Linked DNA regions of Struthio camelus. The protein of the gene in region 1 purifies or fractionates together with the protein of each later gene. This does not show direct contact. Links are inferred from orthologs where the notes say so. Each region holds a gene or a part of one and is shown on either strand. Other genes may lie near its edges.

The links.
Region 2: the proteins of SLC34A2 (region 1) and ENDOD1 purify together in Homo sapiens (co-immunoprecipitation; 3 studies listed by BioGRID and IntAct, counting the BioPlex papers as one, with this or other methods). This does not show direct contact. The link is inferred for Struthio camelus from reciprocal best matches to the Homo sapiens genes SLC34A2 and ENDOD1.

Annotation. Positions count from the first base shown.
Region 1 is NC_090945.1:66,975,208-66,990,863, forward strand, and holds the start of SLC34A2 (sodium-dependent phosphate transport protein 2B), read right to left. Parts: upstream 8,109-15,656; 5' UTR 7,888-8,108; intron 7,770-7,887; exon of another isoform or gene 7,675-7,769; 5' UTR 7,591-7,674; intron 6,183-7,590; 5' UTR 6,127-6,182; intron 5,447-6,126; exon of another isoform or gene 5,393-5,446; intron 5,063-5,392; 5' UTR 5,000-5,062; intron 475-4,999; 5' UTR 466-474; coding exon 360-465; intron 257-359; coding exon 122-256; intron 1-121. UniProt on the Homo sapiens protein: Involved in actively transporting phosphate into cells via Na(+) cotransport.
Region 2 is NC_090942.1:211,862,620-211,878,275, forward strand, and holds the start of ENDOD1 (endonuclease domain-containing 1 protein), read right to left. Parts: upstream 7,157-15,656; 5' UTR 7,063-7,156; coding exon 6,493-7,062; intron 1-6,492. UniProt on the Homo sapiens protein: May act as a DNase and a RNase. Plays a role in the modulation of innate immune signaling through the cGAS-STING pathway by interacting with RNF26.

The DNA.
Region 1 (15,656 bases):
ATCCAAGTGCTCAAATCTTAAATTCAGTTCTCCAGAAACTGTCACTTCAGAAAAATAATTGAGACAAAGAGAATGGAAGTGATGGAAAAAGAAAGTAACTTGTATACTGAGAAATGGCTACCTGACCACTTGACCCCAGTGTCCTGCAGTTCTGGCAGAGCCCATGGGTCATCTTCTGGTCTTGTCTCATCTATCAAGGCTATTGTGGAAAATGCAGGTTGAATTTCCCCTTTATTTCCAAGTGACGCTACATTGCCTGATGAAATAGAACACACGAAAAATGACTTAATTATCTTCAATCTTTCCCAAGAAGCCCCAAACTTATAGATCCCTGTAACTCACAGGTAAGCACACATTACCTTTGTGGTTTTCTCCTTCTTTTCCAGGCACGTTCTGGTTTTGTTTGGAAGAATCCCCAATATAGTTATTGGTTTCAGGCTTTTCTACCTCAGGCCAAGGAGCCATGATCTGTGACTAACAAAGTAGCGCTTATTAAAATGTGTGTGCAGTCAAAATATTCAGCTCACAACAAGGTATGTGAGCAATTTGATTGCCTCTAAGAGAAAAAGAGATGGAAAAGCAGTAGAAACAATGTGTCCTTGAACACAGCTTTTTTTATTATTCTTTAGGAATTATTCCCTTATTTGTGAAATTGTCATCTCTATTATTTATGGAAGCACACAGTTAGTTTAATTGTACAATTTACACAATTTTTAGAAATTATTTGTGTCTCATGCATGTATTTTTGTTTAATTTTAACTGTAATGACAGCAAAAGATTCCACTGCTTTCTGAACCTTAAGTACTTCATTAATTAATTTCATCTCCTTTCAGCAAAAATCAGAGGACTGTTTTACTTTTTCCATCTTCTGGTTTTAACTGCCCTCTTGTACCAAATTAGTAATTCAACATACAGACCCTAGCAAAGAAAGTTAGAAAATTATCTCCTAAAGTCTTGCCTGTCTGGGCCATGCACGCTAACAATAATCTTCTTGTTGCCTTTACTGGTTCATTTGCACGCTAACATAAAGGGGAATGTGACCCTCAACAAGTTGAAGGAAGCCCCCAGAATTTCAAGTGCCTATTGCCTGGATCCATGCTGAACAGCTTGACAAGAGTGTGATTAAAAAGGCAGTGGCCATTTGCTATTCTGTCTAAAACTCCCATAATCAATGCTGTAAGTGAAGCCGGAATAGCAGCAGCACCAGTGGGAAACTTCTGGCTCATCCATTCAGAGTAGGTTCCTCTGCCTGAACCTCTTCGTTCCTGAAGCTTTTTGAGCACGTTTGGCAGGTTCGGCACTACATGCATTGTGATGTTATTCAATAATAATGTAAAAATTATAAATCATATGGCCAAATCCTGCTAGCCTAAGTGAAAGCACACATAACAAATCTAGCCCAGGCACAAGCTGAGGAGGTAGCTACTTCTTGAACCAAAACCTGGAAGAACTATAATATTTACTTCACCAGTGTTGGGAGGCAGAGGAAGGGGCTGAACCAATGGTGAGAAAATTTGTGTCCAGCCTTCAAGAGTCAGAGTTAGAGTGGGTATCATGCTCCTGTAAACAAGGTTCAACTATGTTTAGCAGCCATTGTAAGGAAGTGCAATTAATCATTCATCTAATCATGATCCTTTATGTGATGTTGAAAATGTTTTGTCCCTGCCCACATCAACAGCCGCTCGTCCTACTCCTGCATTCAACTTTAGCAGGGAGAAAATGTCACAGACAAACACGTATGTCTTACTGTAACAAAGCGCGGTTTGATTTATGCTCCTCCACTGAGAAAAGGATTTCTCCCTTTCTACACGAGTATGAAAAATTATTCTGGAATCCCATTAGCAAAAACTATGCTTTTACACACTCATTACCAGTGGCTTAAGATCCATAGCGACTCCTAAGGTTTGCAGAGGAAGATCTCAAAACAGACAGAAAAAAATCACCCTTACCTGTTTCAACAAGGTTTTCCATTTGCTTTGAGTAAATTCTTACATTTTCATATGTGCCCAAAAAACTTCCAAGCCCCACCCGTACCAGAACACCGCAGTCTTGTTAAACAAGTTGCATTTACATATGTTCAGCAGTTAAAGAGCTCCGTATAAAAACAACTGCTCAGCATAAGTGCTTAAGTGAAAGGCAACCATGAAAATGCACTGGAAATTCAGATGTGAAGTTGCATTGGCAGCATATGCCATACTCCATGGCGAGACATAGAATATACTGAACAATACCAGCCTGAGAGATGCCAAAAGCTACTTTAACAGCTCTTTTGTTACATTTATATTCAGTGTGGAAACAAAGGAGTCAGCCTCCATGATTACAGAAAGGAAACTGAAGTGACACATTTGCTAGAAAAACCAGAGCTTGAAAACTTCAGCAGAAGAACTACCTCTTTTTCTCCAAAATAAACCTCCTCATTCAAGAATTTAGCAATGCATACTTTCATAATAAGCATCTCTCATGTTCCTGAGGTGCTCAGGATCCCACAGGTACGTCATATATTATTATTGTTTTTGCTTTACGTGATTAAATACGCGAGAATGAGAACTGAGCACCTCTGTGAAGGAAGGAAGATGTTCTTTATAAGTACATATATAAAACTATGCCTATGAGTCCTAATCAACCTCTATTTTGGCAAGATAGACTTGAATACCAGAGGTCCTAACCACATTTGCCTTGTGTATATGGGCTTGCGGTGGTATTACAAGTCTGTCTGATTGGTATCAAGGACTGATAAAAATAGAATTACGTAGATCCTTGAAGCACTACCAAAACTGTCAACTTTCTTCAGATCCCAACTCTTGTTAAACGAAACAGCTGAGGAGATAATTTACAGCCACCTGATACTCTGATTGGTAAGAGTCCTGGCCTCAGCTACTTACTGTTAATTAATCTCCATGCTACAAAGATAATCTACATTCTGCAGTTTTCCCTCAGAGAATTTTTTCTTGCCCCAAAGACAGACATTGATATCTTGATAAAAATATTCAGAAGAAAATTAGGGTGCTGCAGCGGAGCAGTACGGGGGGGATGACAAAGCTAACTAATGACAAAGGCTAATGTCAGACGCAGTATAAAAGACCAACATCGCTTTACACAAGATGTAAGTGTAAGTCTTACACAAGACTATGCAAAAGGCAAGAGAAAAGGGAATTAAGACCACAGCCCTAGCAGTGGTTTACTTCTGAGCAGGGCGGACATTACTACACTGAGAAGGAAGATGTTAGAGAACGAGCGCAGGATGGGCTGGTGACTACCTACACTGCAACGAGGAGCTGGTTTCAGCGGGACGCACCGGTCTGGGTCCAAACAGGGCACAGCCACAACTGCTAGATGAGGTACCCAGAGCGATGAGCCTTGCCCATTCCCATGCCAGCTTGGGTGTCTCTACGCTGCACTTCCCGCGCTCGCGTTAGCTGGCGGGGAGCCATTCAGGGCGTAGTTGGGTAGCTGGAGTCTGGATAATCATTGGCACTTTGAGTATCCACCTGTTTAGACATGTGCTGAAATGGGAGCTACTTCCTTCTGCTAGCGGCAGGTCAAAATACTCTCTGCATATTGCAAAGGTCTGAAAGCTAACGCCTGTGCAAACTGTAATCCAGCCTGTTTCAACGACTCTCGCAGCAAAGTCTCTCGCACCGTCTCGCACCATGTGCTCCTTTCGTTGTAAGTATTGTCTTTCCTCTCCTTCGGAAAATGCTAACTACCTGTGACACCCTTTCTAACTAGAAAAGAAACTGAAGCCTCCTGCTCCTAAGAGGGAGATAAACAGAAATAAACGGAATTCAAGCTATGGAATAAAATGTGAGATATAATGTTGAAGACCAAGTGGGCTCCCATGATTTTTATAGCCATAGTCATTCTCTCACTGCAACATTCTTCTTCAGAGTTAAACTCGCTGGTGTATTATCTGAGCAACACTAGGTGTCATCCAGTTATCCTGTACTGTGTTCCCGAGTGACTCACTGAACTGCTACAACATTTTCTCTGTTGTAGGGCTAGACCGCCAGTGCTTTTCAATTTTATATCAGAAACAACTGTAAATCTATTAATTTTGCTGGAGTTAACACAGAGAATATAAGCCACCATTTGCATGTGTCTGCATGGTATTGTTTGTACCTCTCCACCCGTGACAGCTCACTGAAAGGGCAAGCTGTGCTGGAAATATGCAGTATGAAGCAGCAAGCCTTAAAGAAATCTAACTTCTAGGGGAACAGACAAAGGGAAATCGAGATGAAATGAAGTTTCTGGAGAAAATAGGAGTATTTTCAAATACAACTGGCAACAACTGCAACAAACAGCAGCGTGACCATACACGCACCTGGATTTTTTTTCCAGGTTGCTCAAGCAGTTCTGAATCAAGTTTCGGTTTCAGCCAGACTTCTCTCTCTCTCTCTGTCTCTCTCACCCCTCTCTTGCAGAGTTTCTACACATACGCATCTCTTTCTGGTCACTCAGCACTGTGCTATAGATTTTAGGTTAAAAAGAGATTTCTCTCTTTTATCTATTTCATTTGATATCTAACTGTACAAACTGGTAAATACGAATATTTATCATACTTACTTTATAGGAGTAAATACATAGCTACATAGCAATCCTTCTGATACACACTTTGAAGAAATATTGATTTTTTTCCTCAAAATGCATCATTTCAAAAATAGAAGCAAACTATGCAGAGATAAGAAGGAAGAGATTCTTAGCCAGCACAAATTAATTTAGTTTCTTTACCTCAGTTGATAATTTTGCCCAAGAACCTGTTTCATTGCAGCCACAAAGCCCCAGGTGCAGCCTGGGTACAAGCTAGCAAGTTAAGTAAATGCCAGCAATGATTCAGCCTTGCCAGGAGCAAGTCTTGTCTTTGCTCTGGCACCAGCCACTTCCTTGGGGCTCCTTCTCTGAATAGGTTAGCATGCTTAGCCAGGATGTAAACTTCCAACTAATGTTGCACTAAAGGACAAAATAGCTGGGTGAAAGCTAAACAAATAAGCATTGTACTCACTGTTTATTCCTTCTGATCCCTGAGACTTCTTTCTCACAAGCCTGAATCTAACACATGGCAAAACTAAAAACATAGATAAAACAAACTAATAAGAAAACACATTTCTAAGCTAGTGCATATAGAAAACAAATTCCAAACGTTAATTCTTGCGTTCACAAATAAGCAAAGCACCAGGCACTGCCTCTTAAGAGCCAGAACCAAAACTATGTCAATAAACTACTTGAAACGTCTAGTAGGTATTTAAATAAAATAAGAATTACAATTTTTAGAAGAAAGCCAAAAAGTTCCCACCAACAAAGAAATATAAGAAATCAGACATCTACCCCATCCCTAACATGAAACATATAGTAAAGAACCTAGAGAGGAAAAAGTAATGACATTAAAAAGACTTACTGATCTAATGGAAGAGCTGCTAATAGAAGTTACTGAGATACCAGTCGATTCCTGTCTACTGTCACATTAGTTGAGCTAACAACATCAGACTAATGTATTCCTTTTACCGCAGTGTATCAAACTGAATTAGCATAAGAAAATGTTTCCATCAAGAATAGCCTGACACTGCAATAGTGCTGCACATAGACATTACATACTATCTGTGCTAACACATGAACTGACAGTATTTCCTTCCAATAATGTTTCATTAATCATATCCTAGACATTTTCCAGTATCCAATACCACTGAATGCTATAACTTAAAAATCTCGCTGCTTTCTAATCCAAACAATTGTTAAAACAATACTTTCTCATGTTATAGGCAGTTATTTTATTTCTCTTTGGCTACTACTATGTTTATTTCCTCCGGAGTTTGCTATAAAAATAAATCTAGCTATTGCAATCTCGTTTTTGTATATGTAGTCTTTGTTAAAATAAAAAGAAAAAAGAAAAAACTAGTGCAGTATGTTTTTTATAAAATCCTTAAAATATCAATGCAGCTGAAAGAACACAAGCTGAAAATGCTGACAACTGGATGACATTTCACATGCCACTCCAGCTCCCTACGCTAGCTCTCTCTGCTGCCACTTCTAAAGCTGCAAAAGCCGAGCTCTTGATTTATAACCTAATCAAGTTAAAAAAAAAAAAACCAGGCAAACAAAGAAACAAACTTTGTCTTAGTTGCTTTTACTTACCACTTCTTTCTTGCCAGGCAATAAAGAGAACGGATCAGCTGGGCAGCCACTGAAACCTGCAATATATATAGACAGGTGTTGAGCAAAGTTTGCTTTCATCACCGCACACTAACATTCCTATTTTACAGTCCAGAGGCACTGCCTACCTGCAACTTAATGATCACAATCAACCTTTTTTTAGCAGGAGTGGGCAGCAACCAAGAGTGATAAAACTATGGGCTGTTTCACACTTATCACACTCTAGGAAATGTCCCATCAGCATTAAATAAGAGTTATTAACGTGTTCATGTGAATGCTATAGAATGGTTTGTTCCAGCCTAAAAAATTGCAGTTCGCCTGATCATTCAATAATCCTTTCTCCAAAAATAAGATTCAAAAAACATTTTGCAATCTCAGAAGTCTGTCAAAAGGATATGAGGAAGATGTAATACTGTTATTTCTCTGTTCAGGTGTCTATTAATCTGCCTAAGAAGAGAAGTGAGGGAGAATCAGATAAAAAGCGGTGTAAATAGGAAACAGGTAAGAACTTCTCTGAGAACAGAGGATGGAGTTTCATTCTTATCAGTGCTCAGTGTTTACAATTAAGGAGAGCTCATTAGCATTTTGGCTGTGGTTCTCCTCCTAAATGAGATTTAAAGACATAAGAGCACCTTTGGTAATTGCATTCAGAATTCCAGCAAGGAAGAGGACTATCCAATAAATAGATATGTTATTCAGTAAATCCATAGTCATTAGCATTGCTGACTGTTCTACCGATGAGCTTAATGGGGCATGTGGGAGACTGCAGTAGGCACTGTAGCTTTATTCTCTTTGAACTTTTACTGTTTCAACATGCAGTTTATACTTAGAAAATGAGCTGTAAAACAGCAGCTAGATCAGCAGATCTGCTTCGCCTGCGTGCATGCGGACATATCTCCCAGCGAGTTCATGACTAAGGAACTTAGTGAGAAAAAGAAAATTGTAGCTTTTTGCACCTTCCTGCCCGCAGAGACACTTGGCCCCAGGAGCTGAGAGTCAGAACTTATTCTGCACGTGCATCAGCAGCGGCAGGGTTTGCTAAACTGCGCGCGGTGAAGCCTCTGCAAGCCCATTCGCAGAACCACTGCGTGGCGACGGAGTCGCTGGACCCGGCCTTTGACTACAGCGGAGCTACTGGTGTATAACCAAACGCCAGTTATTAGCCTTATTATGGGCGACGGTGGAACGTAAGGACAAAAGCATCAGACCTGACTCACTGTTCCCAGCTGCAGTTTGCAGAGGGCTGGCTACTGAAAGGGAATCAAATCTTTTCCTGTGTGAAGCTGAGAACTGTCTGAAGTGGAAAGAAGTGACAGAAAATGGACCCTAAGACCACCATGGTGGTTTACACGGTGTTTTCTTAACAAAAGTGTACTTTTACATTACATATAAAATTACCAGTTTGAATCGACACCCTACCTGTAGGAAATCAAATGAAGCTTTTACCTGGGACTCCTTGCATTTCTCTGAGCTGTGGTACATCCTCTTCTGAGTCACTGTTTGTGAAATCCAGCTCCGACGGTGAGGAGGCTGTGGGATGTGCATGGTCTAAGTACACAGTTGCAGTTCAGCTAGTATGCCACGACGGCTTACACAGTATTTTTATTCCAATACACTTCATTCATTTGGTGAGCACATGCCTATGCACTGACCATATTAATGTTTTAGGAAGGGAACAATCCCCAGCCAGAACTATCCTGTTCCTCCAAAACAACCTTTAGGAAAGAGAAAGCAGTCACTTACGCAGAGGCAGGCGATCCAGGGTCTGTGCTGGGCAGGCTGGGGCAGCCCTCCTGCGGAGTCATTCGGGAGAGCCTCTACGAGCAGCCTGAAACGCTCATTCCCCGGCCATGAGGGATGGAGGCAGCCCTTGCTCAGGATCGGAGCAGACGAGGCTGAAGCTCTCCGCAAGACAGCGAGGCAAGCAGAGCTGCAGTTCAGAGTGCTGGCTTTTCGTTCCTTAGGAATAGGAAAAGATTCAAAAGATGGTGCTACTAAGGAAGAATAACCCAGTGTTGCCCCCGCCCCATTCCCTGGATAGGGAACATTTAATAAGACAAAATAAGCAAGTAAATTTCAAGGGTCATGATTTCCCATCACAAAATTGCTGGATTACTCTGAAGCTACCTAGACTCAATCTATACCTGCCTAAAACCCATTTGAGACAGTCTAGGATTTAGCAGGAGATGCAGCCACAGAAAATGTCTCTACCAGAGTGAGAAAAAATTCCTGGCATGTGTAAATTCTGTGAGGTGAACTCTGTCCAGTCGCTGCTACATGCCGCAAGAAGTTATAGCACAGACAAGAAACACGTCTGCATAACAGACCTCTGTGCTACAAAATGCTACCAGCTCCTTTAAACAGCTTGCCCACACTATTGGCAGACTTGCTGTGAAAGTGTCAACCCCATTCATCTCTAAGAACCACACCCCATGATACTAAATCAAAGGTATCTCATACACAGTCAAAATCAAAATAATCAAAAGCAAAAAATAGAAGTGGCCATCTATTCTACAAAGGTACGAGATCAGCCTGAGATATATATCCACTAACAGCTATATTCACATAAGTTTGTTGTTTCAATAAATTCAGCTTCAAAAGACAGCATGCATTAGCAAGATGCTCAGCTCAGATCAGGAGAGAAATTATTTCCCTTACAGTTCAATTGAATTTTCAATGTTCCCCAAATCCAAGGAATGCACAGCTAACCGCTTACTCTGTTCTCAAGGTGCTGAAACTCCAAAATACAACCACAGGGCTCTAGTGAAGAGCCTGTATTTGGAAATTACATTGCCCATTTTAACTTGTTTATAAACCTTGACCGAAACCTAGTTGTCTGCATCTGTGAACTGCATCTATGTGGTTTAAATTAGCCTTTTCTTCTTCTATATATGTGACACCACAAAGCACTGATCATAAAAGAAAGTGATCAGTGCTGATTTCAGTGTGAATTACAGCTAGAACAGTAATTTGGTTAAAGACTTACCTCTAATCAGCTAAGAACATCTTCCATTGTTCAATTACCTGGAAGAGTTTAGGCCCTAGTTTTTGCTGTCATCTGAAAAGTATTCTACATTAAAACATTTTAACAATACAGTTTACTACTGAAAAAACCCAATCAGATATATTTGGTAAATATTAAATTCCACATTGATACAGATCAGGGCACGTAGTAGGGAATCAATATTTGTAGCAGACTCTGTCCCTGGCACTATATAGGACACTGATTTCAGAATAGAATGTAAATGACACAACTTTGTAGCTGATTAATCCATTTATTTTCCATTAAGAAGTGTAAATTTGTCTTTGAAGCTTCAACGCCTACAAGGAAATTGTCTGCTTTTAGCTACCCTGTACCCCTCCACTTCAGGTGGCTATGACTGTGATGCATCCTCAGAACACTTTTTTCTTTTGCCCAGGGTTTCTACTGCACTCAGAAATAATAACTCCTCGGACTGCTTTGACAGCAGTAGGAAAACACAAAATTAATGGATAAAGAACCTGAATCCTATCACAAAGCACTCTATTATAATCCTCTATGCATTTCATTCTCTCTCACATAAAAGATATGCAAATCAATTAGTGGAGTTATTGTAGTTAACATACATACTTCCAGAGCTGAGTAATGAAAAAAAGTCATAAAGAGGTAGTATTCAACAGAGTCAATGCCAGGAAGAGGAAGGTAAAACAAGACATGAGGGGAAGGAGTCATGAAGAGAAAAACTACAGGAAGGGGTTTCATAGATGAGAAGCAAAAGTATTTCGAAACAAGAAAAACAGTATTTATGAAGAAGGAATAACGAGGCCAACAACATCAGACAGGCAGATGTGTTTGAAAGGAAAGTGGTACTGTTCTGTTTTCTAATAATTGAGCAGTCCCTTCACTATAGAGCCAGTTTATTCTCATTATAAACATGACCTCAAATGTTTCTGTCAGTAATTACATTATTGTGGCCCTTCTTATAAAGAACCCCCCACAAATACATCCTTGAGATGTAACAATCAGTGAGGTTTTTTGTTCACATCCTCCCAAATAGCTATTTTTTCCATCCAAGACACAAATGACAATTGTTTCTACTCTTCTTGGAATATTTTATTTCAACTTCCTATTCATTCTGTGTTTTGCTACTAACATATATCAGAACCCATCTCAGAGTTCATCAATACATACGGGACCGGTCCTTCAAACTCCACGCCGCATAGCGGGGCACATGGGCTGAGAGCAGCGGCAAGAAATCTGCCCAGGCCCATGGTGAGACGCCAAATATTCCCATCCCACTCTTGGGGAAGCCAGCAACAACAACAGACAGAAAGACATAGACTAAAATGTGGCACAGGAAAAATAGCACCAGCACTAATCTGAATTTGCTTTTAGTCAGAATCCCAAAAAACATGAATTTTATCAACCACCTTGAAAACTGAAGTCCAGATACAATTTTGAAACTTTTTTTTTATCATGATGGCTCTAAACTTTCATTGTTTATCTTGAATATTCAAAAGATTTAAGAAACACCCATTAAAAAAACAACAACCCCAAAACAAAGATATTGCTAATTCTTTAGGATAAGAAATCTGTAATCACAAAAGAAACCCAATATTCTTCCCCTCTTGCTAACCTTCTCTTACTTTTTTAATAGTCTCTCCCCTTACTGCACCCCCTTGTTTCCTCCCTGCTCCTGTTCACTCCCTCAGCCAATCTTCTATTCCACATCCGCCAGTGGCCTCCCACTTTGGACACATATTAATGAATGCAAATAGCATCATCCCAATAAACAAGTAATGGGGAAGAGGAAGAAGAGAAGTGGAGGGAAATGTGAGAGGTTTTAAATAAGTGATAATATTTACACTCTTATATAAACCTTAATTTACAGTTCCCAAAGTGCTTCAGGGACGTAGGTATTGTTAACTCCTTTATTATTCACAGACTGTTGAAAGACAATTTTTTAAAAAAAAATACATTGTTTTCCTCCTACACAATTTGTTAACCCTCAGCTGACACTGGACACTGTGCTGCCAGTAGCTGGACGAGCAAGTCTAATTATCAGCCAGCCAGATGAGTTGTTTACGCTGAAGATGAGACTCATCTCACATTTCCGAACTGTCCAGTCCCGCACACGAGCTGAACAGCCGGCTAGCTTCCCCATGCTGCTTACAGAGCCTCTTGTCGTTTACAGTAGCCACACTTAAAAATGCCTCCTACCTAAATGACTTCTGCCTAAAAGACTAATTGGAGAGTGGCTTAAATGAGGAATTTTGCCAGAATAAATGATCTCTCACAAAATGTGCTACTTTTTCAAAGGGCAAGCGTGCACTAAGTATGCATTGTGTACAGGTTTGCATGTTTCAAATAAAGCATTAAACGCCTCAAATTCTAGTTCAAACATTCCGAGTTATTTTATTAATAACAATGTTTGTCACTTATTGTAGAAAAATCCTTGACTATCCTTTTATTCTAAGTTTTCACCCCAAAATAGCTTTTAGATAACTCTTAGATAAAGTTATCTAAAGGTGACTTATTGCTAAAGGTGAGAGAATAAATCTCTTTTCTTTAAACTTACTTTTCATACAACTAATTATCTAACCTGCCAATTCAGCACGTCTTTAAATTGAACTAGTAAAATTAACAGCAAAACAAACTATTTAACAAATCTCCAATAGAGTAATTTTACTTAAAATATAGTTCAATAGCAATTATCTATGATTATCATTTAATATTTCTGTCAGAATAATCACTAAAGGATCTCAGCTCAAGTCATCCAAAGAAAATAACAGAAGTTTGACCCTTAAGATACTTTAATTTTTTTTTTTTTAATATATAGTAACTAGATGGCTTAAAACCTTTATCTCCTTAACTCACAAGAGAAGCATGTTGACAAAACCCTAAATCAGTACCTGACTACTACATTAGGAGTGTGGCTGAGCAAGTTATCTTGAGAGACTTACTGTCCTGCACATGTATAAAAGATGTATGTTGGTCTATCAAGTGTACATCATTTTTCATTTTAAAATGAAATGGTATATATATTTCACTTCTGTAAGATTATCTTCTTTAAACAGATGCTTTTGATATTAATGGAAAGACTGCACAAGAGCAAGGACAGACCTTTCAGGAGCAAGCACCACAGTAATTTTCTTACTGCATTAGACAAACTAGTTTTGCTGCATGCTTGCGAGATCTGGCAATTAGAAGACCTCCCTGTGCCGCACATCGAAAAAATGTTCTCCTTCTATCATAGGACTTCTCCCAGTTGTAGCTATTCCACACAGGTTATTTTGTCTAAATCTTATTATCAGCTGTGAAAACTGTGGATTGTTCTGGAGGATTTTGTTCTAGTAAAGACAGCACTGAAAATGGTACAGGGACCAAACCCCAGTCTCCTTGCAGTTTAAACTGGATGTTGGTCTCCAGCCCTCATAACAAATTATACAGGGAGAACTTTAATGTTTTTTACTTTTTTAATAGAATTCTGCTCCAGCAAACTTTCTATAGGCTTTAGACACCACTCTTAAAGATGTTTGTAATAAGTGACTTCACTGGAATAAGAAAACCATCTACATCTGTTAATGGCATTGCTTCTTGTTTGAAAACAAAAATCTTCCATAGACACACAATTACAGTTCCCATTGACTTAGAAGTACTTATATATTTAAGTATATGTATACATATGTCTCAAAAGTTATCAAATGGACCAAGGCACAAATGCAGTAGCTGCTTTTAATTGTTTTCAGTTTATCCTTTTAAACAAATGTTTTTTGTTTTTTTTTTTAAAAGAGGCAGTTAAAGGAGTAGTGGGACCAATATTTGCTTTTCCAAAAGTTAACCATAAGATAAACACAAACCAAACCTTAATAGGAGGTTAACCTAATATTTTCTCACTGCCCTTAAACTTAGCCAAGATATAGGCTTTTCCCTGCGTGTTTCCATTAAAAGAAGAGAAACTCACGTCAGTCAAGTATTTTTACTGCAGTCATGCTACCCTACAAGGAAGATATGTAACATCCTGTTTCCTTTAACAGGAAGACACATGAGGCAGAAATTAAAGGAGACCTTTGGGCTCAGTACTGGCAGAAAGAGGCTTTGAGCTGTGAGGCAGGGAAAAATAACCAAGCAAGTTAAAAATCAAATTAGAAGAAGATATTCTCTGTCCTGTTCTTACAGCTGAATTCACAGAATAGGAATTTGAGCATTCTTTGTAGATACATAGAGTTATTTCAAGGATATCTGACTCCATGATTAACTTTTTTCCTAAAGCAAACAGTTCCAAACTTTAGTTAATCACTCAAGTCAAAAGTGATAATAACAAAACAGAGACAATCTTCTTCCTTTCAAAGGTGCACATTGTTAACTATCAAAATGATTACAAACAGTTTCCCTCCACAGGAAAATATAATTTTACATCCTTAAAACAGATTGATTGGCAAACCTCTGGACATGTATTTTGGTTGCTCTCTTTCTCTAAAGCCTCTTCAAAAGCCAAAGTTAGGGCCCAACCTTATGCTTATTTATGAGCATAACTTTCCTGGCATGGCATGACCTAATTAGGCTGCTGACGAGTCTTGCTAAGTCTCTCTCTAACTCTGCAGGAGTGTAGTTTTAAGAACCCATTATTCAGTTGCTTCATTTTCATTCAACTTGTTGCAGTATCAAAAAAATGACAATTCACAAAAATGAGACTTCCGTTACATTTAAATTAAGTGTTTCTTTGTTTAGGTAATAAGCATAAATTAGTGCAGGTGAGAAGACAAGAATTGCTTCTTAATTGTAGTGGAAGGACTTCTTTTTTTTTACCTGAGGGTAACAAGTGACATTTTGCATATATTAAGATTTAAACAGGTGTCTCTGTTACAGATGATGCGTAACTCAAGACTTACAGAGTTGTAAAGCTGTAACTTTATGCTAATTTCAATAAATTATGTAAAGCCCATTTACAAATATGTTGCGTGCTGTCCTTGATCCCCAAACCTTGATCTGGTTGGTCTGCTCTCTATTTATCAGCTTGAGCTCAGAATCTCTTCTAAACTGTTTTTAAATAAAGGAAATATGACTTACCCACCTTTCCTTTTGTTAGTCACATCAAGGTTTTTCATATGTTATATAAAAAGTCAGCATTTTATTTCATTATTATGTGAGTTAAACACGTCTTTCCAGCTTACCTATTTAGAAAACTTTATTGAATAAAGTAACAGGGTGAAATATATAGCTTATTATATTCAGGGATTTGTCAGTACAGCTATTTCAGAGTAACTGTTATAGATGGTTTTTCCATACACTCAATCTATTGAACAGATTTAAGTGATCTGTGTTTTCACTGAAACATAATGTCAGGAATAACAACTAAGACTTTTTTCAGTCCAAACACACTACAGTCAACAGGACACTTGAGTGAGTAAGGGACTAAAGCCTGTCTCAGGCAATGCCTGAAAACTGCAGATTGGAGAGATGAAGGCGCTGCTTTGGGGGGGGGGGGGGGGCATGAAAGAGCATTTGCGGCCCCAGATGTGCCAGAGTGAATGTAAAATTCCTGATCCTGCATAAAGAGTTAAGAAACTCTCGGACAGGTACACCAAGGACTGGGGACGATAAGCATCAGGTTCTAGATGAAGGCTGTGGGGAATATGATACCTTGAGAAACACAGATATTTCTCAGGGATGAATAAATAATATAACGAAGTAGAAGAGGAGGGAGGAATGCTGAGGAAAACTGGAAAACAGGGAACTGGCATTTACAGTGTAATGGTAAACACCAAACAAACATACAAGACTAGATCCAGCTCCTTTCCTTCCCCTTTTACTCACTGTAAGCAGTCCACTTAAATTTTATCAGTTGCAGTTTTTCTTTCACGCATATGATATATGCCAAGCACTTGACTGCAAAGATGAAACGCTCTTACTTAGTAGGATATTGGAAAGATTGAGATAGCAAACTATCCCAGCAAAGTTTAGCATGAGGGTGGAAACCCAGCACCTATAACCCATTGATTTGTAATCAAGAACATCATCATGTCTCTTCTAGTGACTTACTGTTATTTCCTCTGGAAATTCACTACTTCTTGCTTTGTTAGCCCCACTGTTTTCTAATAGGTAAAGTAATTACTATTCAGACAGATTCAGTTAGTTTAGCACTTGAAAGATTAAAGCAGTCTGTAAATGTATTAATGCAAAGACAGCATGATTTATTCTGGAGGAATATAAAAGAATTCCCAATATCTTTGATGTATTTTGTAAGGAAAATACATAAGGCTTATTATATAATACATATTATCTGTTTTTATATAGTGTCTTTCACATTAAAGGAAATTAATCTGTTACAGCACGTTGAACATAACATTAGGAGATACACAAATGGTTAAAAGCAGACCCTGGTGAAGGGCAAGTTAATGATACCTGGGATATTGTACCATGCAGGTAATATTAGAATTTCTCTATTTTGCAATCTTTATTTCAAAATTCCTAGATTTCTGAAGGGCCTGAGTTTAAAATTGTTCATTGAAGAGGAGTTCATTTCTGAGTA
Region 2 (15,656 bases), on another chromosome or scaffold:
TGTAAAAAATATTTTTAAGAACAATAGATGACCACCTTGAAGATGGTGGTACCTCCAGCTCAACTAAAGCACCTATTGTGGCACTTTAAAATATGAATGAGCAATTCAATTCCTCTTAACTGTCAAATCCAATCCATTCATTGTGCAAGAAGCCAGAACCAAGTAGGGCAACATGGCAGTGACCTAAATTGTCCTTCACAGTCTCGAACATAGGCACTGCAGTGAGCTCACAGGGCTCTCCTAAGACTTGTCATTTACAATCTGAACCTCACCCTCAAAGACCACATACCTCCCAGGGGCAACATGGGTAGGGACACTGTCACCGTGAGTCCTTGGTGGAATCTGTGCTATGTGCCTGTTTGTCATTCTTTTGCCATGGAGTTGTAGGTAGTAATTGCTGGATCAGGCACTCCTTCCAGAGCCTTAGAAGGTCGTGCACCAGGAGGTAATAAGCAGTGGGAGCAAGAGCTCTTAAACACCATGGTACGCTCAGGTCTTTCTCAGAAGGCTGCAGCTTTGTCTTTCTCTTAGTCACTCCTTTTTGACACTGTCTCCAGCCTTTCCACAGGGGTGTACCGCATTGTAATTTTCTTCCCCAGATTAAAGGTTATATACGCATTGGTAGAAGCTCAGGGGTGCAGCCAGTCTCTGGTAGTCACTGCCTCATGTGGTGTCTGCTTAAGATGCCATGGCGCTGAAGTCCCAATGCTGTGCTGGCCCAATTAAATCTGCTGTCTTTGCTCCTGGCCTAGAGACTGTTTACTGCACTCTATAACACATATTTTGGAAATGGATATGGCAGATAGATAGTTCATATCCTGCTTTGAATCACTCTGTGCTCATCCCTCCTAGTCCCTTGGCTCCCCTGTAATGTATTTGAACAGATGGTTCCCACCATTTATGTCCCTGAGATCTTTCATAGGGTTTGCACCCTTTTGGTACCCCAGCTTCCTGCATTATGTCTTGATAGCTGTGATGTCTACACCAGCTTCTGCTAAGAAACAGTGTGAAAGGGACAGTGCTAGTGAGCGTATGTAGCTATCCATCATCCTCATTGTGGGAACTGAGGTTTGACTGGCCTCTTGCATCACCCAAGCCCCTGAAGCCTAGACTTAGGAGTCTCTCTGCACAAAGGCTGGTCGCAGTGCCAGCAATATTAGCCATTTCAGCAGACCACATTACCCCCATTCGCCTGCTAGCTTTCTAGCATTTTGTTTTGAAGCATCTGATGCTTATTGCTACTGGGCTAAAACGAACACAGGCCTGACCCAGGTTAGTGACTCTACGTGCTGATGCACAAATCTTAGTTTTTCTAAACGCATCACTTACGAAAGACTTTTGCCTTATTTTGCACCCTCTTCCTCATGCTCCCTAGCTGCTCCCTGTGAACTACAGCTGTCTAACAAGGCCAGATTTGTTGAGCTGCACTCCATAAAATTACAGCCCCTTCCTTGGCCTCCTCTGTTTTCCCTGTTTTGATGAGAGGACAGTGTTGTGTTATGGGATGAGGGATGCAGCTGGTGTGTTTACTCACACAGTATATATGAGGGGGGAGCTGACACAGGTGCTAGGCCGTGCCTGTGAACTGCCTCTTGTACCATCACCCCTTTAAGTGAAATGTCATTTCAGGGGCACTCATCCACACTTGTTCCCATTGCAGATCTATGCTGCAGCCTCTTTCCTGCCTCAGAGTCCTGCAGCCTTCTTGATAAATTAAAGAAAATGATGGAGGGAGACTGAGATGCTGTATCACAAAAGATGCAGATCTGAGACTAGTCAGCTCTGCCTTATTGCAGATTCCCAGCCTACATTAAGCTTATAGTATAAACTTAAATTTCTCTGATTATGAGCTAGCACATGCAAACTTGAAGATGCCTATTAAGTAAATATGTCTCCAGTTACCTGTTCAGCTGCAGGATTTTACACATACCATTGGGATTGCTCAGGTGCAATTAAAAAAACAGGAAAAGCGTGGCCGTGTGCTGTTCCTATGTCAGAAAACAAGAGTAGGCTGTGACATCACTAAGGGCTGATGCTTTATAATAACTCACATTATGCTTTGCAATAACTCATGTTATTGAGCTTTTCATGCCTCCTCTGACAGAGCCCCAAGGGCAAGCTGTCTCCAGCACTGTATCTGCATGCAAGCTGCCTTTCCTCACTGGCTCAAAAAGCTTTTGGTTTGTGGCACAGGCAAAGCATATCTCTAGTCATGGAGTTAGCCATGAATCCATCTGTCCAAAGAATTTGTAAGGACAAGAGTCAAGTACACGTGTAAACACCTTACTCTTGGGTGGATTTAAAAATAAATTACATATCTAAATACTTGCATGGTTCTGCGTTCAACCACCTAACACTATTATATGGGTTTATCCTTGCAATACACAAAGTGAGGGTTACCACTTTATAGAAGGGGCAGAAGGGGATTAAAGGCGTATTTCCATTGCAGGCAAGAGCTTGACTGAAGAATTGAGGTAGGCATATAGCTGCTATGCCAACTAGTTGCAGTCAAGTTTCTTCATTTAAAAAACTGGACACTATTACCTCCCACCTTCCCTACTTTAGTACTTAAGATGGAGATATTTCATCTAGCCTTAGTGTGGGATTCATTTCCCAGGGATTAGGTACAATGCATCTCACGCTAAGGTTTCTGTTGTAGGAAGTACACAAGTCGCTTCAGAAGTACCTGTTTCTCCTGGCTGACGACTACCAAGAGAGATGAGAAGAGCAGCTCAGATGCAAACCTCTTTGGTGGAAAAGGTCTATAGCTGGGTGACGTAATGCCCACCTCGGTCATCTAGCTGATGGTAGTCAGTAAGTAAATTAAAGGACAAGGAGACTCATCCAGCTTATTGTATTTTAGAAAAGAAAAAGCAACGCCAGAGTTCTCCCTCCCTCTCTCTAAAAGACACAGAGAGAGATAGACAAAAATACAGTTTTTAAATGACTGAAATTAGACAAGGTGAAACTCGCCTAAGTAACTTGCTCTCGACCCCTGAAGAAATCTGTGGCAGAGCAGGTTTTCAAAACCAAGCCTAGGGCATTGCACCAGTATCCTGCTCATCAGACTGCCCTTCTTGCTCTCTAATTTTTCACAGTCTTGGTTGCTGAATTAATTCACAGTTTCCAGCTGCCAATCAGCAGTGGGTGGTGCTGACATTCCTCTTGTTTCCCATCCAATTACTGCCTCTGTGCTACGTTTGGCATTTGTTTCCCAGACGCACATTCCTGAGGAGGTAGGCACGCAAGGAGTGAGACGCTGCCCTCACAACTTACACCATGATCTATTACAAAAGAACATGTGACAACTCTTAGTCACTCATCAGACTGCACAGAGCATTTTTATAGTGATTTCTTTCTGCTTGGTGCATCTCTGCATGTGTGTGTGCATGCCCATGTACACAAACACGTTACTATGCAGTTATGCCTGTTTGTACCTGGCTATCCCTGTCTCAGTTAGGAAGTTTCTCAGCAAATAGCCAGTGTATCCATTTCTGGGTTATGTTGCAGAGCAGGTGTTGCAAAGTGTTCCTTTTGGTTACCATCTGAGCTTTTTTTGACTACCCGACCTAGCCTTAATAAGAACAAGTAGAATAGGGGTGAAATCTGTTCTCTGCTGTCTCCCTTCCAGATACTGTATAGCGGATGTCTGAGAGTTGTGTATGTGCTTATTTCTTGAGAGACTTCCAGGAATTTTTTAGTCCTGATTTCTTCCTCTTATAGATTCCTCTGCCAACTTGCTTCCAGTTTTCTTCCTTGGACTGAGGCTCCTCCACTGAACTACACAGCTGCTTTCTTTCACCACAGAGGTACCTGTATTTCAGGAAAGAGTGAAGGAGACTCCTGCACATACTGTAGCTGACAAAACGAAAAGTCCAGCATGGTCACGTCATTGAGTACGTGTGAGCTGGAAGGCCAAATCAGCTGCATAGAAAACTCGTATCCTCGCATTGCCTGGCTTTGGGGACTCCTCTCACTCCTGCTCTCTGCATATAAGGTATCACAGATCAGCCCAGATAGGAGTCTCCACTGCTCACCCAAGGCATGGTTCTCCTGAGCGAGAAAGAAAACGGAGTGGCCTGTGGCCACTTGACAGCCTTGCTCCTGCCTTCGTCCCATCTCTATACTCTAGTAGGTGGGTCTATGGCCAACGGCCAGGCCATAAGAATTTGAGCATGCAATTAGCTGTGGGCAAATTCCCTGAGTAAATGCTTTTAGTCAAAATAAGAACGGCTTCCAACCTCCAGGACCATACTGGGGAATTTAGTGTAATCAGGATGGAGATGATCTTTGCTCGGCCCTCCTTGTTTCCCTAGTGATGCCACCTGACGTGATACAGGTGCTTGCAGTGTTATGGCTCAGTAAAGATGCCCCCCCATCCCCAGCGCAGCTTTCTCTAAGCTGGCCGTACTGGGATCTTTCCTTGTGGCCAAAGGCTAAGTCTTGCTTAGGAAGCATTTCCACAGGTAAAGCATTTTTGCCCAAAGCTCTCTGGTCCTGAGGGAAGCTCAGTATCTTGTCTATCTTAATCACGTGTGTGGATGTGGTGTATCCTTTCAAATAAGAACAATATTGTCACTTAAAGGATGTTTTTGAGTTGAAAAAGAACAAAACAAGCAAGCAAGAGTGAGAAGGAGGTAAAATAATTCAGGGGATTTGTCTTGTTTAGTACTGGGAGGAGTAGCTTGCTCCTTGGAAGAAAAATCCTCAAAACTCTCAGTTTATTTCATACTATCACTGATCTGTAGGGACTAAGTCAGACCCTAGTGTAACAGGGAACAGATTCACAGCTACCCCTGGGGCTACACTAGTGCAAAGTCAGAGCAACTAAGGGTAGAGCCTAGCAATAATTTTGGGGGCTCAGATATATTTCTGAAGCAGGAAATGTAAGAGGTGTGGCTCAGGTGTTAGCAGGTGCTAGGGGGGCCAATCACCAGGTCAGCGAAGAAGTGGCAAGGGACAGAGTGAACTGGATGCAGAGAAGTGTTGGAGACCTGCACAGGGAACCTGCTGTGAAGGGACTTTGAGGAGTCCAAAGAGCAGAAAAGGCATTTGGGCCTGCACAGCTGCTGCAGCAGCTCTGGTGAGTCAGACTGCAAGGGCAGGAGGAGCTATGGTGCCTAGAGGTGACAATGGCGGTCAGTGGCCAAGGCAAATGGGAAAGGATCTCATCTCTGCCACTTTGCTTTGCTGCCTCCACAGCACAGACAGCAGATGTTTACTCGTCTAGGTCTTCTCCGTGCTTTAAAAATTCATCACACTTCCTTATCTCCATAATGGCAGAGTGTGCAAAAACCCTTCCCTCTGTTTAAAGAGAGCAAGCAGACACCTCCTACGGGCATCTGCGGAGTGGAAGAAAAGAAGTTCAAAAGGCTCCCAGGAACTCCTGCAATTAAAAACCCAGCACTGAGAGCAGGGAGATGGTCCAAGGTCAAAATCAGGGTTTCAGAACCCTGCCTTCACTTCCTGCCACCTTGTGGGAAGTGTTTAATGCCTTAATATCTCAGCATCCTAGAAGGAAAATGAACAGCAGCCACCCTTTTGGGACAAGGATGAGCTTTGATTCTGGGTATGTACAGCACCTAGCACACGAGGGCCCTGCTGGCAACATGCTACTCGAATACCACGACTGCTTCTGGTCCTTACAGAGCACCCTCAGAAACTGCCAGTCTTTCTTGAGCTGAACAGACAAGGTGAGCTTGGTGTTTGCTACAATACTGCCCATGCTCACTGCTGAAATAACTGCAATATTGCAAAAAAAGTCAAGTAAAGTGTGCTCGTTCTCTTAAGGCACAAGCAATTGTTTAAGGGTTAAAATACTTAAATATAAATATTTAAATATAAATATATTTAAATATAACAGCCTGAAGGACCTGGTTAAACATGTCAAGTGTCAAGGGAGGCAAAAACCACTGAGGCTGTAGTGATATTCTCTTTATACTGCCCACTTCTGACTCAATTGAAACATTTCTGCTCCAGGACACTGTAATCCACTTCTCTATCCAGTATCTGCAACAGAGGAACACAACAAAAAGCTGCTGTGTCAACTTGGTGAGCCACAAATGCATGTTTTATTCCTGTCCAGTGAAGCTAAAGAGCCCTTATCAACACTAGGATCATGCTGGCAACCGAGCAGCCTTCAGCCTGACACTGAAATGTTTAACCCTATTATCCACCAGCAGTGCTCCCTAATTGAGGTAGCTAGCTAAACGAGACAAACAGATCCTACCGGGTAAAAGACGATTTTCTTTTCCCCTCACATTCCACAGCCCATGCAGCAGCCTCTTATTTTTCAGTACAAGCTCCGTGGGATAAGGAACTATTTGTTCACTTCCAAGCACCAGAATAAGCTGGCTGCAGTAAATTCATATCAAAAGAGGTTCCACAAGCTCTTGACTCCTTTGCAAGATCCCATCCCCAGCTAATATCTTCACCTCAGAGGAAATGTTCTCAAGGAACATCTGCTTTACAGTGAAGGAAAGGTTGACTTACCTGCGGTTCAACCAGCCACTCCTCCTCTTCATTTTGCGCTGGTTTTGTATACTTAAAAGCTGAATAAAGAGGGATTTTGTCCTTAGTACTGTAGAGTGTTGCAAATCGTGGCTCTTTGTTGTACTGCTGACAGATTTTCACATGGAACGGCTCGGTAAATCCTTCTGGTGGGACTTGTCCAGAGAAGAACACATTACATTCAGCAAAACCACTTTCATCCTCTCCAACAACTCTGCCCTGGGAAAAGCCTGGGAAAACTGAGAGGCAAAGCAGAAATAAAATTGACGTCTTCATGGTCCACTCCCTTGAGCTGAGGGAAGCCCTATCTGTCTGCTGGATTCGGCAAAAGACCTGTGCTCTGAGCCCATGCAGCAGTAAAGCCAGCAAGCGTCTGGAATTCGGGTGTAGTGTACAAGGGAAATGAAATATGAAACCACAGCCGTTCCCTTCAGGGAGCGAGCGCTTTCTGCAGGCAGCACATTGTGAAACCAAATGTGCGCAAGGCTGCGCTGACACACGCTGCAGACACCAACTGCCCCAGGGAGATAATGCCAAGCAATCTGAAATCATCGGGGCTAATTTGGAAGAGGAGGTGGGAACTCCATAGCAGTGCAGGTCTATAGCTGAACAGCATCAACCCCTCCAGGCTTGAGCCCAGCGCTGGCAGGGGTGTGGTGTGCTGCATTGCAGCAAAGTCCCCAGGAGGAATTTTGGCTGACACAGCCAGAAGTCTTCCCAGGGCTGCCAGGGGGATGCTGCAAAGTCAGATCCACCACCCAGAAGAAGATTAGCTGCCCTCTCCAGCCACAAGCCTGGCCAAGAGAGAGGGAGAAAGAGGGAGAGAGAGGTGGCAGGATATTGCCACTGCTGAGAGTCCACTTTGCCCCTTTTTTAGGGTATCTATTACCACCATTCCTGCCAGCCACATGCTGCAAAGGAGCCTGGGGAAAGCATTCTCCTCCCATCTCTCTTGGAGCTGTGCAAGGCATCCAAAATCCTCCTGTAGAGCAGTATCACCTCACCTTGGCAGAACCACCCTCAGAAGATACTAATAAGAGGCAGAAAGACACAGACCCTCCAAAAAAATCTACCTAAAGGGAATGAAACCACTCCTCTTCGGTTATGCTCAACAGAGGTATTATCTGCCCAGTGAATAGCTGCCTATGACACCTAGGCTACTTCCGGATAAAAGGCTGCTTCAGTGACTGGGAGAATCAATGTTTTCAGAACAGTGGGGTCGGGGAGGAGGAGACTACAGAGCTCTTCCTCAGAGACAAGAAAACATGCAATTTCCCATCCAGGAAGTTAGATATGATCAGATGTACTGCCAACAACTTCCTCCCCACCACCTTAAAAAATCCTAGGTGCCAATAACGTGCAGGTCTCTTTCAGACAATGCTGTTTTATACTGTTACCCTGATTTCCAAGGAAGAACCTCTAAGTGCTACAAACCCACAAGCGCTCCGCAAACTAGTGAAGGAGTAGCCTATACTGCAAATGAAGAAACAGGACAGGACAGAGGGCAGTTCAAATGACTGCCCACAGTCAGAGAAGGGGCCTGTAAAAGAGCTAAAAAAAGATTGAACTCTACGCAGAGATGACTTCTAGAAGTAGCAACGCAAGGAAATACGTCAGCACCTTTTAATGTGATGTTATCAGCTGGGGGAGACAGAGGCAGGCTGGACAGGCTAGCGAACAACAGGAAATGTAGTAAGTGGGCTTGTTTTGTTTCCAGGCAGACGCCTGGTCACCCAGCCCTGACAGAAAGAGTTAGTCATATTCAGGAAAGATGATGGAAATGAGAATGCAGACACAGCCTGACCTGAACACAGCAGCTCCAAAAGACAGGCTCAAACTGTCATTTTCCTGGATGTAAAAAGGCTCCTGGGAAACGAAGAACTGAAGTTAAACCTGAGCAACTAGATGCTGATCTGATCCCAGCCTTGCAACTGTCCGGGAAGTCCAGAAAATGTCTTCCTGAGTGTTGTAAGCCCTGCTCCCAAGGAGAACCCAGATCTGGCAATGATTTCAAATAGCTGCTTCAAGAGTGAAATGCATTATCCCAGGTTAGGCATGGTACCAAGGAAAAGGTAGCATGGCATGAGGTGTCTCAAGATGGGTATGGCATGCAACCAGCATGCAATGTCTGCAACCAGGAAACATTGACGTCTTGCCTCTTTCTTAAACTTACGCATCAACTAGCAAGTGGGCAGCCCTCGAGCCAGTCTCAAGCGGCCTCAGCCTCTCATTTCCCAGGAAAGCTGGCATGGAGCCACAATCTTTTGCTCCCCACTCCCATTTTCTCTAAGCTAAGCCCCTCTCCAAGTGAAAACTCAGGGCTTGGGTGGCCAGTTTCTATTTAACTTACGATAGCTGTTGTGACCCTCAAGCATGGAACTGTAGTATTTACTTCTCTTCCTGCTATCGTCATTACTACTAAAAAGAGCGAGTGCTGTCATCATGGTATGGGACTCTCTGCCCTGCACAGATAAAGGCCAAAGGACTGCCTTGCCCCGGGAAGATTACACTGTCAGCCAAGCGCTTGCAGACATGCTGCCAGAGGAGCCAAACAACAGAGAGAGGAAGCACATCAGTGGGAGTGTTTCAGAAAACTTAATGCTGCCATGCCTTATCTGCTATTAGATACCTTTACGGGCATCAAAGAAAAAGGGACTACTAAGATCAGATACGAGCGCGGCCTGAAACAGCCTTAAGGCTGTTTGCGTGAGACAAGCAGAAGGGCACCGGCTAAGCATATGCGGTGTGAGACGGCACCTGGCAGTGCAGCATCGCTGGGCCCCGGGGGCTGCCTCCTCCACACTCACTGAGGCCGGCAGAGTGCCACAAACCCGAGGGTGCTGGCAGTGAAGATGACTACCTGATGTACGATGTAACCAAACAGAAGAAGCCCATGGAGGATGTGAAGAGGCAGGTGATGTGGTCAAAGGGACAAGCGAGAAAAGTGACCTCTCAGTAGCAGAAAGGAGATTAGGGCAAAAATTGGAGCTGAGAGAGATCTGCATTCCTTAAAAATGGGGAGTAGTAAAGAAAGGTTAAGAAGGAAAATGAATAAGGATAGGTGTGAGGAAACACAGAAGACAGAATGTAATGGGTCAAGTGAAGAGACGAGAGAGAGAACTGAGCAGAGGTCTTTGCTTCTGTAATGAGAAAATGAGAAAAATATGAGGAGGAGGAGGGGGAAAGGAGGATGAAAGGAGGTTGTCATTGATCTAATGACGATGGCCAGTTCTCTTCTTTCCCAAGGGTCTCAGGTACCAAAATGAATGTCTCAAAAGACAAGAACACTTCCCTAAAAGTTTGTGCGAAATGAACCTGAAAAGTACGTCAGTATTCGAACCCTGCAGCAAAAAGAAGCTGCCGGGCTTGCTTGCCTACTTTCCCACACTGTGCCTCCAGCCCTGTCCTTCAGTTCACATGGCTGACACTGGATTTGCTGCAAATAGTTTCTTCCTCCCCACATGCCCAACCCCTCTAATCCAGTCTATTCAGAGCATACTTGACCCCAAATATTTTTCCAAGCCTGACCTCCTGTCTCCTGTCATGACCTCTGGGCAGGACTGTGGTACTGCTCCATTCTTCTGAGAAGAAAGGGAAGAAGAAAGAGATCCCAAGCATGAGCGCTCCCACTGGAGCAACATCGTTTAATTTACTGGAGACCCCGCTGCTGAAGATTTGGCTTGGAGCACGATAGACCCAGTGCACATGCCACTGCATGTCAGAGAGCACATCTCCTGCCTCTTCGTTGTCTCATAGGGAAAGAATCTCTTTAAAATTAGCTTAAAAACTCAGTCTGTGAAAAGAGCCCAGTGCTGAGCTAGGGAGAAAAGGAGGAGTGAAAAGATTTTTATGCTCAAACTAAGAGATTTGGGGCAGGAGGCGTACATCTTCATGCCTTCCCTATACCACCTCTCTTCCTGAGAGGAATGCCTCACGGCCAGTGGAGTTGCTTCACTGCCCACCTTCAAACCCCCTTTGCCATGGTGCTTACAAAAGAGGTGGGCAAGGAGCAGCCACCAATCACCTAGACATTAGTGCCAGTGATGCTGGTCTGGTTTTATTGTTTCCATAGACTCACCCTGCTTCTTGCACATACTGACCGCAGCAGCCAGGGGATACCTTTCAGTGTCGTCACAGCTGAAATCAGAATACAAAAAGGCAGGGAGGATTAAGAACAGATGGTGACATAAAATGATGAGGGTTGTCACCTGTGGTGCCCAGTCATAGCAAGAGGGTGAAGATGGGGAACGGTGAAGCATTCGCACCACTCTCTGAACTATAACATCTTTAGGACAGCGATCAGTTTTTCTGGGCTTGTACAGAAGCTTGCACAGTGGGAACCTAATCCTGACATGGGCCTTGTAGACCAGGAAGTGCAAATGTATTGTATAAATACTGAATAATTAATAAAACCCAGCGGCTACATTCTTTGGCACTTTATCACAGCCTTAAGACTCAGAATATTTCTGCTAAACTTCAGACTGTTAGGAATAAGCATAACAAAGATCTTGTGTTTGACAGCAGAACTTGATAGATTTATACTAGCAGAACAAGGCAACATTTTTAATAATGCAATAATTAACTATTGGAATGAGTTATTTAGGGATGCGCTGAAAACTCCAACACTTTCATTCATTAATTCAAGATTTAAAGAGATGATGCTTTTTAACTGAAGTTATTGACTGCAATAAAAGAACAGATAGTTCAAATTTAAAGGTCTTTGTTTTACGGATCATCAGTTTATCATAGCCATAATAGATTCTTCACACTTTATATCTGTTTTGAATAGGAAAGCCAGTCACTTGTGTGCTTTTCTCCTAGGTGTTATTGCTTACTATTCGTTTTTATTTGTTTGTTAATTTTTTATTTTTCAAAAGTCCTGAGAGGTTCGGTCAATGCTGAGACCTTGCTGCACTAGGTACTGTGTAAAACCAAGATGTGAGAAAGTTCCTTACAGTCTACATTGACAGAAGACTAAAGGGTGGGAACAAAATTAGAAGTACAGACTTGTTAGGATTACATCAGCTCAAAGGAGGCAATGTGAAAGCCATAACTCCTGAGAAAGCTAAACCTGCTGGCAAGGCCCACAAGCTTTCATCAACAGGCACGATAGCAACCACTCCCAGGACTGCCTGCCTCCAGTAACGCAGCTGAATTTTGGAACTAAGGAGTGGGAGGAGGAATGAGATATTCTGGATTAAGGGTTTGGCTGGGCCAGTGGGGAGCCCTATCGAATAGACAAGGTATAGTTACAGCTGCCCCACAGCTCTCATGCACTCTGTGAGGCCAGGCAGCACATCACCTACCTTCACAGAGCTACAGGGGAGATGCCTACACTGAACCTCATTATTCTTCATAACCTAAGAAGAGAAAAAGGCACTTCTTTTAGGCTATAAAGAGTATGATTTGTGTCATCCTTGATGACTACATGAGGAAGAGATGACATCCTCAGGAAGTGCCTGCATTTCCACACTGGCTATAGAGTGAGCCTAAGAGGTCTACAGTTGCTCAAATACATCTTGGTCAGGCTCTGGCATATTCCTGCAATCACAGGAGTGATTTTACAGTGCTCTTGTAAAATCTAACGTGTTGGCTATTCTAGGAAAGAGTGAGTAGGTCTTTCTCCACGCTCCTTTCAGGCCTTGGCCTTCCTCCTGAAATACATGTTGAGACTCTTGCTGGGCATATGTGCAATACCATATTTTTCACATAGGCTGCTATTGCGTTACTTCTGGCCACTACTGCCCGGGGAGAGATCTGAATGTGAAAAACACAACAGAGAACATGGACTATCACCAATGCTATGACCCCTTCACTGCCTTGTGTATGTAACACTGCTTCTGCTGTTAGAGTTTACAGAATTGCTTCTGTACACTACAGTCAGGACACATCACTACATTTAAAAAGTAAGAGAAGGCTTTTAGTAATAGTAGCTGACCAAAGGATAGAAAGAAATACTGGCCTTATAATATTGCTTTAAATAAATGGGTGGCAGGTTGGAATCTCAGATTGAGATCGCAAGCGCAAAGCTCTTAAGTCTCTGAAGAGCAGAGTTGGGAGACTTCTGATTTTGCAAACAGTTTAAAAGAAGAAAAGAAACTGACTTTGCAGGGTTTACTCAGAACACCTCTTCTGGGATCTGCTGTGTAACTGTTACCAATTACTTACACTGTCCGATTTGACTTTCTTGGGAGGTGGCAAGATGGTACTTGTTTGTGGCTCTGCAACAGTTGTCATATCACAATTGCTGAGGAGGTATCCCATCCCTGATCTTGTGGTTCATCAGGCAATATTTACAGTACATTTAAGTGCACTTTACAGCACCTTCAGTGTTGTGAAGTGTCTTGTTTAGACCTTCTCCCACTCAGTAAAATTAAGGATTTCAGGGTAGGTACCATGGCTCCCTAGACAATGCAGCAGAAGAATCAGGTATTGAAAGAACAGAATTCTTCAAAATCAGCACCTTAAGCTGGGACCCTCTTAAGACAAACAATAACAAATGACAAAATATGAGGTTTTAGGCACTGCTCCCCAAAGAGCATTAAAAGCCTACCTATGTTTAAGATTTGTAGCCATGAATCTTCTCTTGGATGCATGCACCCAACCCAAACTAAATTTGTTCTCTCTCTCTTAATCTTAGCATTAGCTCCTAAGAGACTGAGATTCTAGTCCTTCCTCTGTCTAATACGCACAATCTTACGGTTTGGGGTCACCCGTCTCACTCCCATAAGAGTGCTCCAGTTGCTGTTCTGCTGCCCCGAAACTCTTGCAAATTTCTCCTCAATTGTACTTTGCATAAACAATGACCTGTTCATGAAATCAGAGAGTAAAACACAGGACCCTTCAGTCCTGTAGTTAAAGCACTAGAGCAAGAGCATCAGCAGGTCAGTCTTGCTTTCATGAGGCTGCACTCATAGGTGTAATAGCTGATCCTGGTCGCCGCCTCGCTCACCAGCTGGGACATGTGCCTAGGAACAAGCCCTGTCAAGAAGTTTTGAACTTGGCCTCCAACATCTCTTCTGGGTGTTTTAACTCAGAGCTGCAGCATATGAGGCAGACTTCCCCATATTTTTTATCTCAAGCATGCCTTTGAGTACACCCAGCTGATGAGGTCACAAGAATAACCCTAAATTATTGAATTCTGCTCAGAAAAGTCCTGTCAGATCTGAGATGGTTCTGTTCAGAGTCAACAGCAAACATTCAGGATCCAAGAGAATTTAGGAACTTCCAACTTTTGACTTCTGGGATTCGAGTCCTTGTGAAACCAGTCCATCCCGCTGGCTTTCCTCTGAACCTAGAATCCATTCATTGACCTTTCTTTTCAAAGATGAACTCTGTTCAGAGAACAGCAAAGTGTCAGAAGTACTTATAGCCACTTTGAGCGGCAGTCTGTGCCTGAAGCCATGACATGGTGCACTCCATATCCGGTATGCAGCACCTAAACAAACAGAAATTACCTGCAGAGTGTCTGGTGTCACATATTGCCATGTCAGAGCAAAGCAATCGCAGTAATATTCTCACCATGAACCCCGAGTCCTATTTTTCCCCCAGTGCAATGCAGTGCATTACAACTCCACACATTTAGAGCTGAACGCGTTTCCCAAAGCCTGATGTAGATTGCTTTGAGGCCTAGCAGAGACTGTAGAGTTTATAGCTGGTAAAGATCGCCATCAGGAGTAGGCAGGCTCAAGAGAAATAACATAACGAAAACTGGAAGCGGGGAAGAGATGTGAGTAGTCAAGGATGTGCATTCATTGCGCTCCAACCATTCCTGTCCAAGCCCTGTCCCCAATGGGCACCAGCTCCACCCATGCCACGTCTGCACTGTTCATAAACAGCTGTGCAGTGGTAGGATTTGCCACCGCTCATGAGCAGCAGCTTGTCCAGGACCAAGACCCCTTCCCTCTATTTCTACTTCAAATTTGTATCTGTGAAGATGGCGAGACAAAGTTACTAATGGCAAACTAATGCAGTAATGGATAGGAGAGAGGAGGTCAAACTACTTAATTTTCATGGTTTTGTATGCGACCGGCATGAGTTACAGAATCACAGAATCACAGAATCGTTTAGGTTGGAAGGGACCTCTGGAGATCATCTAGTCCAACCTCCCTGCTCAAGCAGGGTCCTCTAGAGCATATTGCCCAGGATCACATCCAGACGGGTTGCAAGGACAAATGTGAGATGTGGCTGCTTGTGTTGTGTTCATCACAGGCGACAGGCCAGGAAGAACAGGAAAGGGAGGCAGGAGAATGCAAAGTTCAGTTACAGTTACAAATACTCAGCAGCAATCATACAGAAACAGGCAGAGTCTTGCCAAGACAAGGCAAGTTTACAGACGCATTTGCAGAACACACCTTCCTGCTATGACCTAAGTTTGCAAGTGAGCATGAAACGCCCTGTTCAAAAAGCCTCCAGCTTGTGCAGATAACACTTGTGCTTATGCCCATTTGCAGAGTTCAGCATTCAGCTGAAGGAAGTGACCACCACACATCCCGAATCAGCCAGCTCTGAAAACAGGCAATTTGATATTTCTAATCAGTTGTTGGAGCTGCTTAAAATTCAACTGAGAAAGAAGAAGAAGAAAGAAGAAAGAAGAAGAGCAGAGCAGAGCAGAGCAGAGCAGAGCAGAGCAAAGCAAAGCAAAGAAACAAAATGAAACGAAACGAAACGAAACGAAACAAAACAAAACTCAGGAATTTAATGAACTTTGCCAGGCTCAATTCACTATAGAAAAAGCTTTAGTCATCATTGAAAACTAATGTTATGAGAGAAGACTGCCTCATCCCTAGTCGGTGCTCCAGACTCCATGCCAAGCGTAGCTCAAACAGAGGTTGTGATTCTGGTGGTAAAATTACAAGGCAAAGTCCTCTGGATTTTATTACACAAGATATCAGATTTCATACCCTGCTGTTGTATGGGATATTTCATCTACACATCTCAGAGCACAGGCCTTTTGTCGTTTATCCACATTTTATAAAGAAGAAAATGTGCAGAAGCTGGGGGGTAGGGATTACACTTTCAAGGTCACAAGCTGGTGACAGAACTGATAAAAAAATACAAGTTTCCTGAGCTCTGTCCTTCTGCTCTCTGCACTTACACAGCCCCACAGGAGCAAAAGGCTTCCCTGAGGTCTGGGTAGCCAGAAA